Linked DNA regions of Coturnix japonica. The protein of the gene in region 3 purifies or fractionates together with the protein of the main gene of each other region. This does not show direct contact. Links are inferred from orthologs where the notes say so. Each region holds a gene or a part of one and is shown on either strand. Other genes may lie near its edges.

Region 1 (2,353 bases), on a different chromosome or scaffold from region 3:
TGTGTGCAGTACCTGGAAACAGCCCTGGAGAGATTCTTGACAAAATCAGTGTCAGAGTTAGAAGGACCTAAAGAAGTGGTGATTGCTGTTGGAGCTGTGTGTTCCCTGATGATAATGGGTTTCTTTCCAAGTTCATCTTGCTTCTAGTGAAGACAATACAGAGACAGATGTCTCTGCTATCCAAGGATAGTTATTGTTTTGGTTTTAGTTTTGAGGCTGCTGGCAGAGTGCTGGAATGCAGCTGGACTCTCAAAGCAGACGTCATGGTGAAACAAGGTTCAGTCTCTGCCCTGTTTTCAGTAATGGACAGCGTGGCAAGTAACATGAAGGCTCATGAATGCTATATATTTGTTGCAGGTGGAAGGTTTTGTTGGAAAATGCAGTTTTATTGAGGACCACTGGTGACAGGACACGATGATCTTGGTCTCATTGGGTCTGAGGGAGGCTGGCAGGAGACTGTGGTGGGCATGGAGTTTTCTATGCTGGCTTCTCAGGCTGCTCAAGGTGGAGGAAATAGAAAGGGCTACATTAATGTGAACTTTTTTTCCATGATTTGATCCAGTGCTGACCTTCCCTGCTCTCATTCCAGGCCCAAGAGTGAATACTCAGAGATCGATGAGGAGGATGCTCAGGCTCCATATGACCCCAATGGGAAGCCCGAGAGGTAGGAAGCTGGATGTGCTCCCACTGCTGGGAGGAGGGGGATGGAGCTGGGTGCACTGCGTTTGCTGTTGGTGTGAGTTGGATGTGCTGCACCAGCGCAGAGAGCTGCTGCTCCCTGGAAAGCAAGGCAGGAGTTGCAATTAACTGGTGATGTGCCCAGGCCTGGCAGGTTTTGCCCTCTGGGTGACTCTTCAGAGTTCCTGTTACCAGGTAGGGCACTGCAATATTTGGTCAAGTGTCTTGGAGAGATGGCTTAGGGTGATGCTGAAGACACTGATGTCATCAGCAGTATTATTCACCCACGTGAGTCTCTCATGCTCTGATTGCTGCTGCTGCCCTCTCTACCAGGTGATAATGTGTTGCAGGAGTGCCTGCAGCCAGACAGCCAGTCTTAGCTTCCCCGTGCAGCTTTCACATCACATAGCTGAGCAGAGAAAGCCTCACAAGGGCTCTTGCATTTTGGAGGGTCGTGAGGGCTGCTATGAGCTCCATGGGAGTCTGTGGCTGCTGTTGTAGCAGGGCAGTGCTGGCTCATGCCCAGAGGGGAGCTCAGCATCTCCCTGCAGTGGGTCCTGGTGGGTTAGAGCTGCTGTGTGGGTGCTCTCTGGTTTTGTACCTCCTCACAGAACACTTGGTAACTTTCTCCCTGACTTGTAACCTCAGGTTTTATTACAACGTGGAATCTTGTGGCTCTTTGCGCCCCGAAACCATCGTTCTCTCTGCACTGTCTGGCCTGAAGAAGAAGCTGAGTGACCTCCAGACCCAGCTGAGCCATGAGATCCAGAGTGATGTGCTCACTATAAACTGAGGTGGCCCTTTGCAGGAGATTGTCCAGGCAGGAGTGATGCAGAAGGTTCCTGCCTCTGCCTGGCTGCACTCGGGGCTGAGGGATTGTCTCCTCATCTCCCTCTGCTTCTCCTGGTGCAGATCTGCTCGTTAGTAGCACTTCTCTTCCCAGAGAAAGCCATGATGACACGTAGGGTAAAGCAGGAGGAAAGTCTTTGCTGGGTGGGGGTGGGCTTTGTCTCTGATCCGAGTTTTGGACTGTGGTCACGTAGTGTTTGGGACTGGGAAGCATGTACCTCAATTACACAACCCTGTCCTGTTTGTATGTCTGTTCCTTAAGTGTACTGAATAAAGCCTTAACGCCTGTGTTCAGTCATCTCTGAAAGCTCATCTGGGGCTGCAGGAGGAGATAACACATCATTTAGTTCCCTCCAACAGACATTAACTTAATGAGGCCTGCTTTGGAGGGAGCGTTGCTCTGTAACAGCTGATTGCTGCTCTTGACCTACTGAGCTCTGTGATCTACTGAGGGTGCCAGAACCCCTGCAGCAGGTAGTGCTGGAACTGCCAGGGACAGGACTATGTTTAAAGCAGATGTTCAAGGCTGGGCTGCTAAGAGCCACATCACAGGAGGGAGGGTGGGCCAGGGAGACTTAGCTGTGTTTAAGGACTCCTTTGGAGCAGACTCTGCCCATGTGCTGTGTGCCATGGGGCTGGGCAGTGTCTGTCACTGGTAACCCCCAGCTGGCAGCTCTTTGCAGCATGCAGGGGCTGAGCTGGCTCTGTGCTTAACCAAAGCAGTGGCCAGAGGGCTCCAAGAGCTGCACAGTCACCCCTTCTCCCCTTCCTCAGCACCCAGGATGTGGGACAGGCTCCTTGCTTTGCTGAGAGAGTGTGAGCAGGA
Region 2 (3,454 bases), on a different chromosome or scaffold from region 3:
TGCCCAATGCTCTGCCACTTGTGCTCATTGCCATTTGGCAGAGCAGTGCGGCTCTGCTCATCTTGTGCCACAGCAGTGCCCGGCTGTTCTGCCAGGCGAGTTGCTTCGTCACGACCAGCCTTGCTTAGCACCGGCTCTGCTCAGACGATGAGGTGGCTTTGTAGATACAGAGCAAATGCGCTGCTTGCAGTGCTGTTTCCATGGCACAAATCTGTTCCTGTCAAATCCTGGTTTTAGGATAGCACGCGTGGTTCCTGGGTGTGCAGCGATGGGGAGAGGAAGCACGAGGGATGCCAAAGGATGAAGACGGTGAACATTAGCTGCCAGGGCCGGCAGGAGAGAGATTTGACCCTGCTGCCATGTTGCCAGTGGAGGCAAGGCATGTGGATCCTCATGGCTTTACCCTTGCTCTGGCAAACCAAGTTCTTCAAAAACCATAGTAGTTGCCTGGACATTGTGCGTGGTCTCTTCAGGTGTTGCTGCCCTGACCACAGGCTGCCAAACCCTGTTCTTGCACGCCTCCCACAGAAATGGTGCTGACAGGATGTGAGATGGCCAGCGATACAGTTGTGGTTCTTGAGGCAAAGCTGCCAGGTACCATGGAGCTGAGTGGCTCTTGGCTTTGGCAGTCAGACTGGAACCCCAGTGCTGTTGTAGTTACATAGGTCAGATGAATCAGCCTGAGCTCTTCCGAACCAAGAAATCTATCAATTGAATGGACCAGTATGCTTCACACAAACAAGTCAGTTGTGCTTAAGGAGATGAGATCTGCATGTGATGCTAATGAAACACTGGAACAGCACTTGCAGTCACTGTATGCACTTCAGAAATGACTGGAAAAAGCAGAGGCTTCATGGATGAACCCCATCAGGGATGGAAGTCGTATGCAACAGCAAGTCTTGACATTCACACTCCTTAATTTCAGGAGAGGTTAAGAATTCACTTGTCCATTTACTTCTTTGAAGTTGTTTCTTGTCATACATGGTACAATAAAATCTGTGCGTCCAGGCTTTGCAGTACCAAACTTGTCTTACTGCACGACTGTCTGTACAATGCACTTTGCCTTTGCTTATTCAACAAGCTCTTTTTCTAGTGGTCATCCTTCTGTCTTAGAGGGAAACTGAATTTCAAGTGCAGACGCAGTGGAGTAACTTCTGCTCCTGCCAGTGGAGGAGCGTCCTGCATCTTTGTTCTGTTTTTTTCTCTTGCTAGGCTAAGGAAATTCTTACAAAAGAGTCAAATGTGCAGGAGGTACGTTGCCCTGTCACCGTCTGTGGGGATGTCCATGGCCAATTCCACGACCTTATGGAACTCTTCAGAATCGGTGGGAAGTCTCCAGACACAAATTACCTGTTCATGGGAGACTACGTGGACAGAGGCTACTACTCGGTGGAAACGGTGACTCTACTAGTAGCGCTAAAGGTACGGCTGGACAGCTTTGTTATGACGACTATGGGCAAAGCTGTGCTTTTCAGGGGATATGAAAGAATAGTTCCCCTGTTGACACTACAGTTGGCTTGAGCTCAGTGGATGTACGTTTGAATGTGTTAATGTACACATGTTTTTATATAATAGACCCGAGTGCTTGCCTGCTGTGTGAAGCTTCTAGGTAGCATTTCTCCATTCTTTTATACAGTTCTTGTCTTAAAGAAAAGTTGCTTTTCCCCCCCCCCCCCCCCCCTCCCCCCCTTTTTTTTTTTTTGGTCAATAGGTGCACTACCCAGAACGCATTACTATACTGAGAGGAAATCATGAAAGCAGACAAATTACACAAGTGTATGGCTTTTATGATGAATGCCTGCGGAAATACGGCAACGCCAACGTCTGGAAGTATTTCACAGATCTGTTTGATTATCTTCCACTTACAGCTCTAGTAGATGGCCAGGTAAGCTTTCCTGCCTTGAATAAAGAAAACTCTTTGTTTTGTAACATAATGCAGTCTGTGCCGCCTGACCCACACATGAACAGTCTCAAACAAGCTTTTTGTGTTTACTGTGGGTTTTGGGAAGAACTTGGTGAAGTATCAATACAGGTTGATGGTGCAGCAAGGCCTCTGCATTTGCTGCCTAAGGAATAACAGGGTATTGGTCATTTTAAAGGGCTCTTCAGCAGGTGAGAATCCCCTTGTGATACTTCACATGTAAGTTGACATATCGCTGTGATACTGAAGGCACAGCATGTTTGTTGCTTCAGTATTAGTGTGTAATGTGCAGCCTTCCAGTTTCATTTCCATCTGAGACAGTTAAAATTTGTTTCTCCCCTGTGAGTGTAGACCACTGTAATTGCAAAATAATGCAGAAACAGCTATTTCTGAGATGAGTCTTCCCGTAGCAAAAATGTATTCAATGGATCACTCTTCTTTCTGCAACAGATATTCTGTCTCCACGGTGGCCTCTCTCCATCCATAGATACACTGGATCATATCAGGGCTCTGGACCGCCTCCAGGAAGTTCCACATGAGGTAACAGGAAACTAGGTGCACTACAATTCAGATATGCTTGTTGAAAATGTAAATGCACAGTCATGCAGAAATGCATTTGCACTGTGAGACATACTGTTACGCAGAAGATTATTGCCTCAGTTAAGAGCTACAGCAAATGAAAACTCATTTGATTAAAACACACCCAAGTCAATATGCTTCAATTACAGCAATCTGCAAAAGGAGAGCTGTGGGGTTTTCACAGCTGTTATTCACAGAAACAGATTTTCTTGACCGTCATGCTGACTCAGTCATATTGGCAAGGGAAAGTGCCTCACTGCAGACTTCCTTGTGAACCAACCACCAGCACACAGAGCTGTTGCGTCACTATCCCTCCACCCCAGCCAGTACTTTTTGTGTTTTCACCATGTTCACTGCTACCCTCTTCTGGGTGACCTGACAAAATTAGAAGGTGCCCATAGGAGATGCCGATGTGCAGGAGTCCCACAAGGAGCAGCTGGGGAGTGCCAGTCGGAGTGAAGAAACCACCTTTTGAGCTCCCAGGCTAACAAATAGCTCTGCTCTGCTGGAGTTGTTGGGGCTTACAGATGGTCTTGATTATCCCTCAGTGAAAACAAACTTCTTGTCCTGAAACGTATGGGGTACAGGAGCAAGAACAGAGTGACAAGGTCTGCCTGAGATTTCTGAAACAAGCTGTTTGAATTGCCCCCAGCATTAGGAGGGAGGCTGCTTGGTGGGGTTCTGATTGTAGATAGATGGTATTAATTTTTTTGTTGCTCTGGGGTTTTCACAGTCTTATGCTGCATATGTTTGCTGAGATCTAAATTTCCTGAGGACCTCTGTGTATGATCCCTACCACGTAGTTTGGATCAGTGGATGGGAGACAGCAGAAGGCTTTGACAAGTACCAGACAGTTCGTAGTGCCCTTTAGTTTCTTAATAGCTCAGTGAGAAAAGCTGCTGGTGAATGTTAAAAGACATGTACCAGGGTATTTCTGAATATGTAAAATCCAAT
Region 3 (3,656 bases):
GACTTTGATGAGGGGATAGTGGCCACCCTCAGCAAGTTTGCTGATGATACGAAGTTGGTAGGATTGGCTGACACCAAAAAGCCCAATGGCATACTGGGGTGAATTAAAAAGAGCATGTCCAGCAGGTCGAGGGAGGTGATCTTCCCCCTCTACTCTGCCCTAATCTGGAATATTGTGTCCAGTCCTGGGCTCCCCAGTACAAAACAGACAGGGATCTCTTGGAAAGAGTCCTGCAGAGGGCCATAAAGATGGTGAAGGGCCTGGAGCATCTCCCCTATTAGGAGAGACTTAGGGAACTGGGTCTGTTTAGCCTTGAGAAGACTGAGAGGGGACCTGATCCAGGTCTATAAATATCTGAGGTGTGAGGGGCAAAGTGGTGAGGCCAGTCTCTTTTCAGCAGTGTGTGCAAGAACTTCTTTACAGTGAGGGTGACGGAGCACTGGAACAGGCTGCCCAGGGAGGTGGTGGAGTCTCCTTCTCTGGAGATATTCAAGACCCCCCTAGACGCCTACCTGTGTGAAGTGGTGTAGGGAGCCTGCTTTGGCAGGGGGGTTGGACTCGATCTCTGGAGGTCTTTCCCAACCCCTATAATTCTGTGATTCTGTGAAGAATACAGCTGTAATTTTAAGCCATTAGCTGAGAGGAAATAAACCGATGTGCTTTTTGTTACAGCCCAGAAACAACAACCCACAAACGTTTTCTTGTGCCGGGCATGTATAATAGACAGGCTGAAGCATAGTTCTAGAAGTATTGCTGCTTGCCGTAGTCTCAGTGATCTCTATCAGATCATAAAGAAGGCAGAACTTGTATGAGTAATCTGTGTTTTATTGTATTTTTTTTGTTTTTTTTTTTTTTTTAGCATCAGAAGCTAATAATGAGATTGCAATGGATGATGTGGTAGAGAATCATGTTACAGACCCGCTTTCATCAGATGATTTCCCAGATGCTGTGGATTCTGAATTTTCAATGTCTTCTTCATTCAATTCATTGGATCGATCAGCAGCTCATATAGAGGGTGCAGGCCATGAGCATCTAGGGAATAACTTGAATGTTGATGGATTTTTGGAGAATCATGATGAATCAAGTAGTAAAGAAGAAAATACTGAAGACAGTTTGCCAATATCTTCAACCAGCAAAGGGAAAAAAACAGTGCCCTGCAGAAGTTCCAGAGAGATTAATATAGAGCTGAGAGCACAAATCATGAAAGAGATCCGAAAACCAGGAAGAAGTAAGCATTCCAAATCTCTTCATTAAATGACTGGCATGAGAGCTAGGCAAAGAATTAATATTATTTTGCCTTTTCAGAAAAATACTAAACCGTGAAGAGTGAAATGAAATTGAAAGCTAGATAGATTTGTTTTAAAGCAGCTTGTAAAAACTTCCTGGATGAATGATTCTAATACTGCTGCATCTGTCAATTTCCATGAAAGTAATGGTTATCGTTATTGATATTAGAATTATAGGTATCCTAGTAATATCCTAAACATGACCATCTGATTATGGTTTTTAATGTTAATGTTGATAAAACTGTATGTTATCATTATAAGCCTGGATTTTAGATGATCTGTCTTATCAGAAGCTGAATTAATTCTCTTGCCTTTGTTCACATAAAGCAAAATGTTTTAACGGGTGTCTCTTTAACTGTTTTTGCTCTTATTTTTTTCAAGAATACGAAAGAATCTTCTTTTTACTGAAGCATGTACAAGGAAGCTTACAAACCAGACTGATATTTTTGCAAAATGTAATTAAAGAAGCTTCAAGGTAGGTAAGATTAAGATCTTAAAGTAAGATTGTATAAGATTAATACAATACTGAATTGTATTAATCTTATAAAACTGCACCATCTACTGCTCCTTGTAATTGCTTGACATCCATGCAGTCCTGTGTCTTAAACTTCCCACACAATGCTTTGTGTGAATCATTTTGTAGAAAACAAACACTAGAAATACATAAACTTCCTGATGGTTTTGGTGTTTTTTTTTGCTTTATACTGAGTCTTAATGTTAGTAGCTGTAACTGCTAAATCATCATAAAGGTAGGTGAACAATGGTATAGGAAGAAAAGGTAATTAGATAATCATTTAACTTCTGGGAACTTGCGAACAGATGCTTTTGCCAGAGTTTAATATGGTCATAATACCAAACTCAGAGTACAGTTCAGAACAGTGCAAGTGTGTGATCTTTTCATTGCTGCTTTGAGTACATGTTAGCTGCCAAAGCATTGGTCAGAAGTTGCTTCTTGAATGCAGAAGTGTCGCAAGGGGTGGTAGCTGGAAACAACAAGGAACAGCATGCTGCAAGGCAGCGGTTTGAGCGAAGGAGACAATGTTCTCATGCTCAAATTTCTGTAGTCTGGAGGGAATAGAAGTACAGAGACTCCAAGTATGGTTTACATCTATATTTCTTCAGTTCCTCTCAAACTTCTTATTTATATTTTCTCATTATCTCAAAACACGCTCTATGCTCTGTGATGGCCATTTTGCCATCAGAACCAAATTCTCTTCTGTGCTTGTGCCATGAAGGCATGCAGAATAAAAGCTGCTGCTACCTTTAGGACTGTAGTTCTTTCATATGTTTTCTTTACTTCTGGAAATAGAAAACAATGGTTTTTCTGGCATTCTGAAGGCTGAGTGATATTTAACCTCGTACTGGGCCAGAGTTGTAGTAACACCAGTTTGTATTCTCTTACTAAATGGGAGAAGCAAGTTAGTAGTTACCTAAAGTTCTAGTAAGCGAAGTACATGCAATGCCATCACTCAGTGTACCTAAAATGATAGCTCAGTAAACACTCTGCTAACGATACTTGATGTATGATGTGCATTCATTAATACCTTGTTTTAAATACAGGTTTAAAAAACGAATGCTGATAGAACAGCTGGAGAGTTTTCTGGAAGAAATCCATCGCAGATCCAATCAGGTCAACCATATCAACAGCAGCTAAGGAACTGCACAGCAGAGCCACAGCAGGGCACTGCTGTTCTTACTTGCATTCATTTTTGACATGCACTCTTATCCCAAGTTCTGTATATGGAAGAATGAGAAGCTGCTCTATAAAAGAATGAGAAAAGTATCTGTCATCTTTTTTTTTTTTTTCTTCCTTTCTGTTACTTTGTAATGTGAAAAAATATCACTAAAACATTTTTATTTAACTAAATGGAGAACTCCTTGTCTGTCCACGGACTTCAGTGTCACTTTCCCTCAGGTTCTATTTTCTTACGCTGATCTTCGAAACGATCACCTCTTAAGGTTGAGCTTTGCCAAAAAGTTGATTTGTAATTTTCAGAAAAGAGGAAAAAAAAAAAGCACATACATAAAACAAGGTAATGTTTTGTATATACAGTTATTTTGGATATATTATTGTAAGTTGTATAAATGTATTTTGACAAATATTTAAGAAAAGCACTTTTGTTATTCCATCAATAAAAGCTCTATTTTAACGTTTGCCTGGGATTGAGTTCAGTTTTTACTGGAATTGGTTCATTTTGCCTTCCTTTTAGGGAACTTCCATTTGTTGGTGTTAGTCTGATGCTGTATGATGAGCAGGTTTGTGTCACTGAATGTTCTGTTCTTCATTAAAAGCTGTTGAAGTGAAAGCAGAATTGTGACTATGGTAAAATGAACAGCCCAGCCATCCTGGACATAAAGTATCACTTTATT

What was found. The genes of interacting proteins can lie anywhere in the genome.
Region 1: the proteins of INTS6 (region 3) and POLR2C purify together in Homo sapiens (affinity purification with mass spectrometry; 3 studies listed by BioGRID and IntAct, with this or other methods). This does not show direct contact. The link is inferred for Coturnix japonica from reciprocal best matches to the Homo sapiens genes INTS6 and POLR2C.
Region 2: the proteins of INTS6 (region 3) and PPP2CB purify together in Homo sapiens (affinity purification with mass spectrometry; 3 studies listed by BioGRID and IntAct, with this or other methods). This does not show direct contact. The link is inferred for Coturnix japonica from reciprocal best matches to the Homo sapiens genes INTS6 and PPP2CB.

Annotation. Positions count from the first base shown.
Region 1 is NC_029526.1:1,904,425-1,906,777, forward strand, and holds the end of POLR2C (DNA-directed RNA polymerase II subunit RPB3), read left to right. Parts: exon of another isoform or gene 1-589; coding exon 590-664; exon of another isoform or gene 665-1,155; intron 1,156-1,326; coding exon 1,327-1,471; 3' UTR 1,472-1,825; downstream 1,826-2,353. UniProt on the Homo sapiens protein: Core component of RNA polymerase II (Pol II), a DNA-dependent RNA polymerase which synthesizes mRNA precursors and many functional non-coding RNAs using the four ribonucleoside triphosphates as substrates.
Region 2 is NC_029519.1:30,561,739-30,565,192, reverse strand, and holds part of PPP2CB (serine/threonine-protein phosphatase 2A catalytic subunit beta isoform), read left to right. Parts: exon of another isoform or gene 1-1,212; coding exon 1,213-1,422; exon of another isoform or gene 1,423-1,428; intron 1,429-1,711; coding exon 1,712-1,885; exon of another isoform or gene 1,886-2,371; coding exon 2,372-2,461; exon of another isoform or gene 2,462-3,454.
Region 3 is NC_029516.1:152,140,610-152,144,265, reverse strand, and holds the end of INTS6 (integrator complex subunit 6), read left to right. Parts: intron 1-859; coding exon 860-1,228; intron 1,229-1,667; coding exon 1,668-1,761; intron 1,762-2,846; coding exon 2,847-2,940; 3' UTR 2,941-3,441; downstream 3,442-3,656. UniProt on the Homo sapiens protein: Component of the integrator complex, a multiprotein complex that terminates RNA polymerase II (Pol II) transcription in the promoter-proximal region of genes.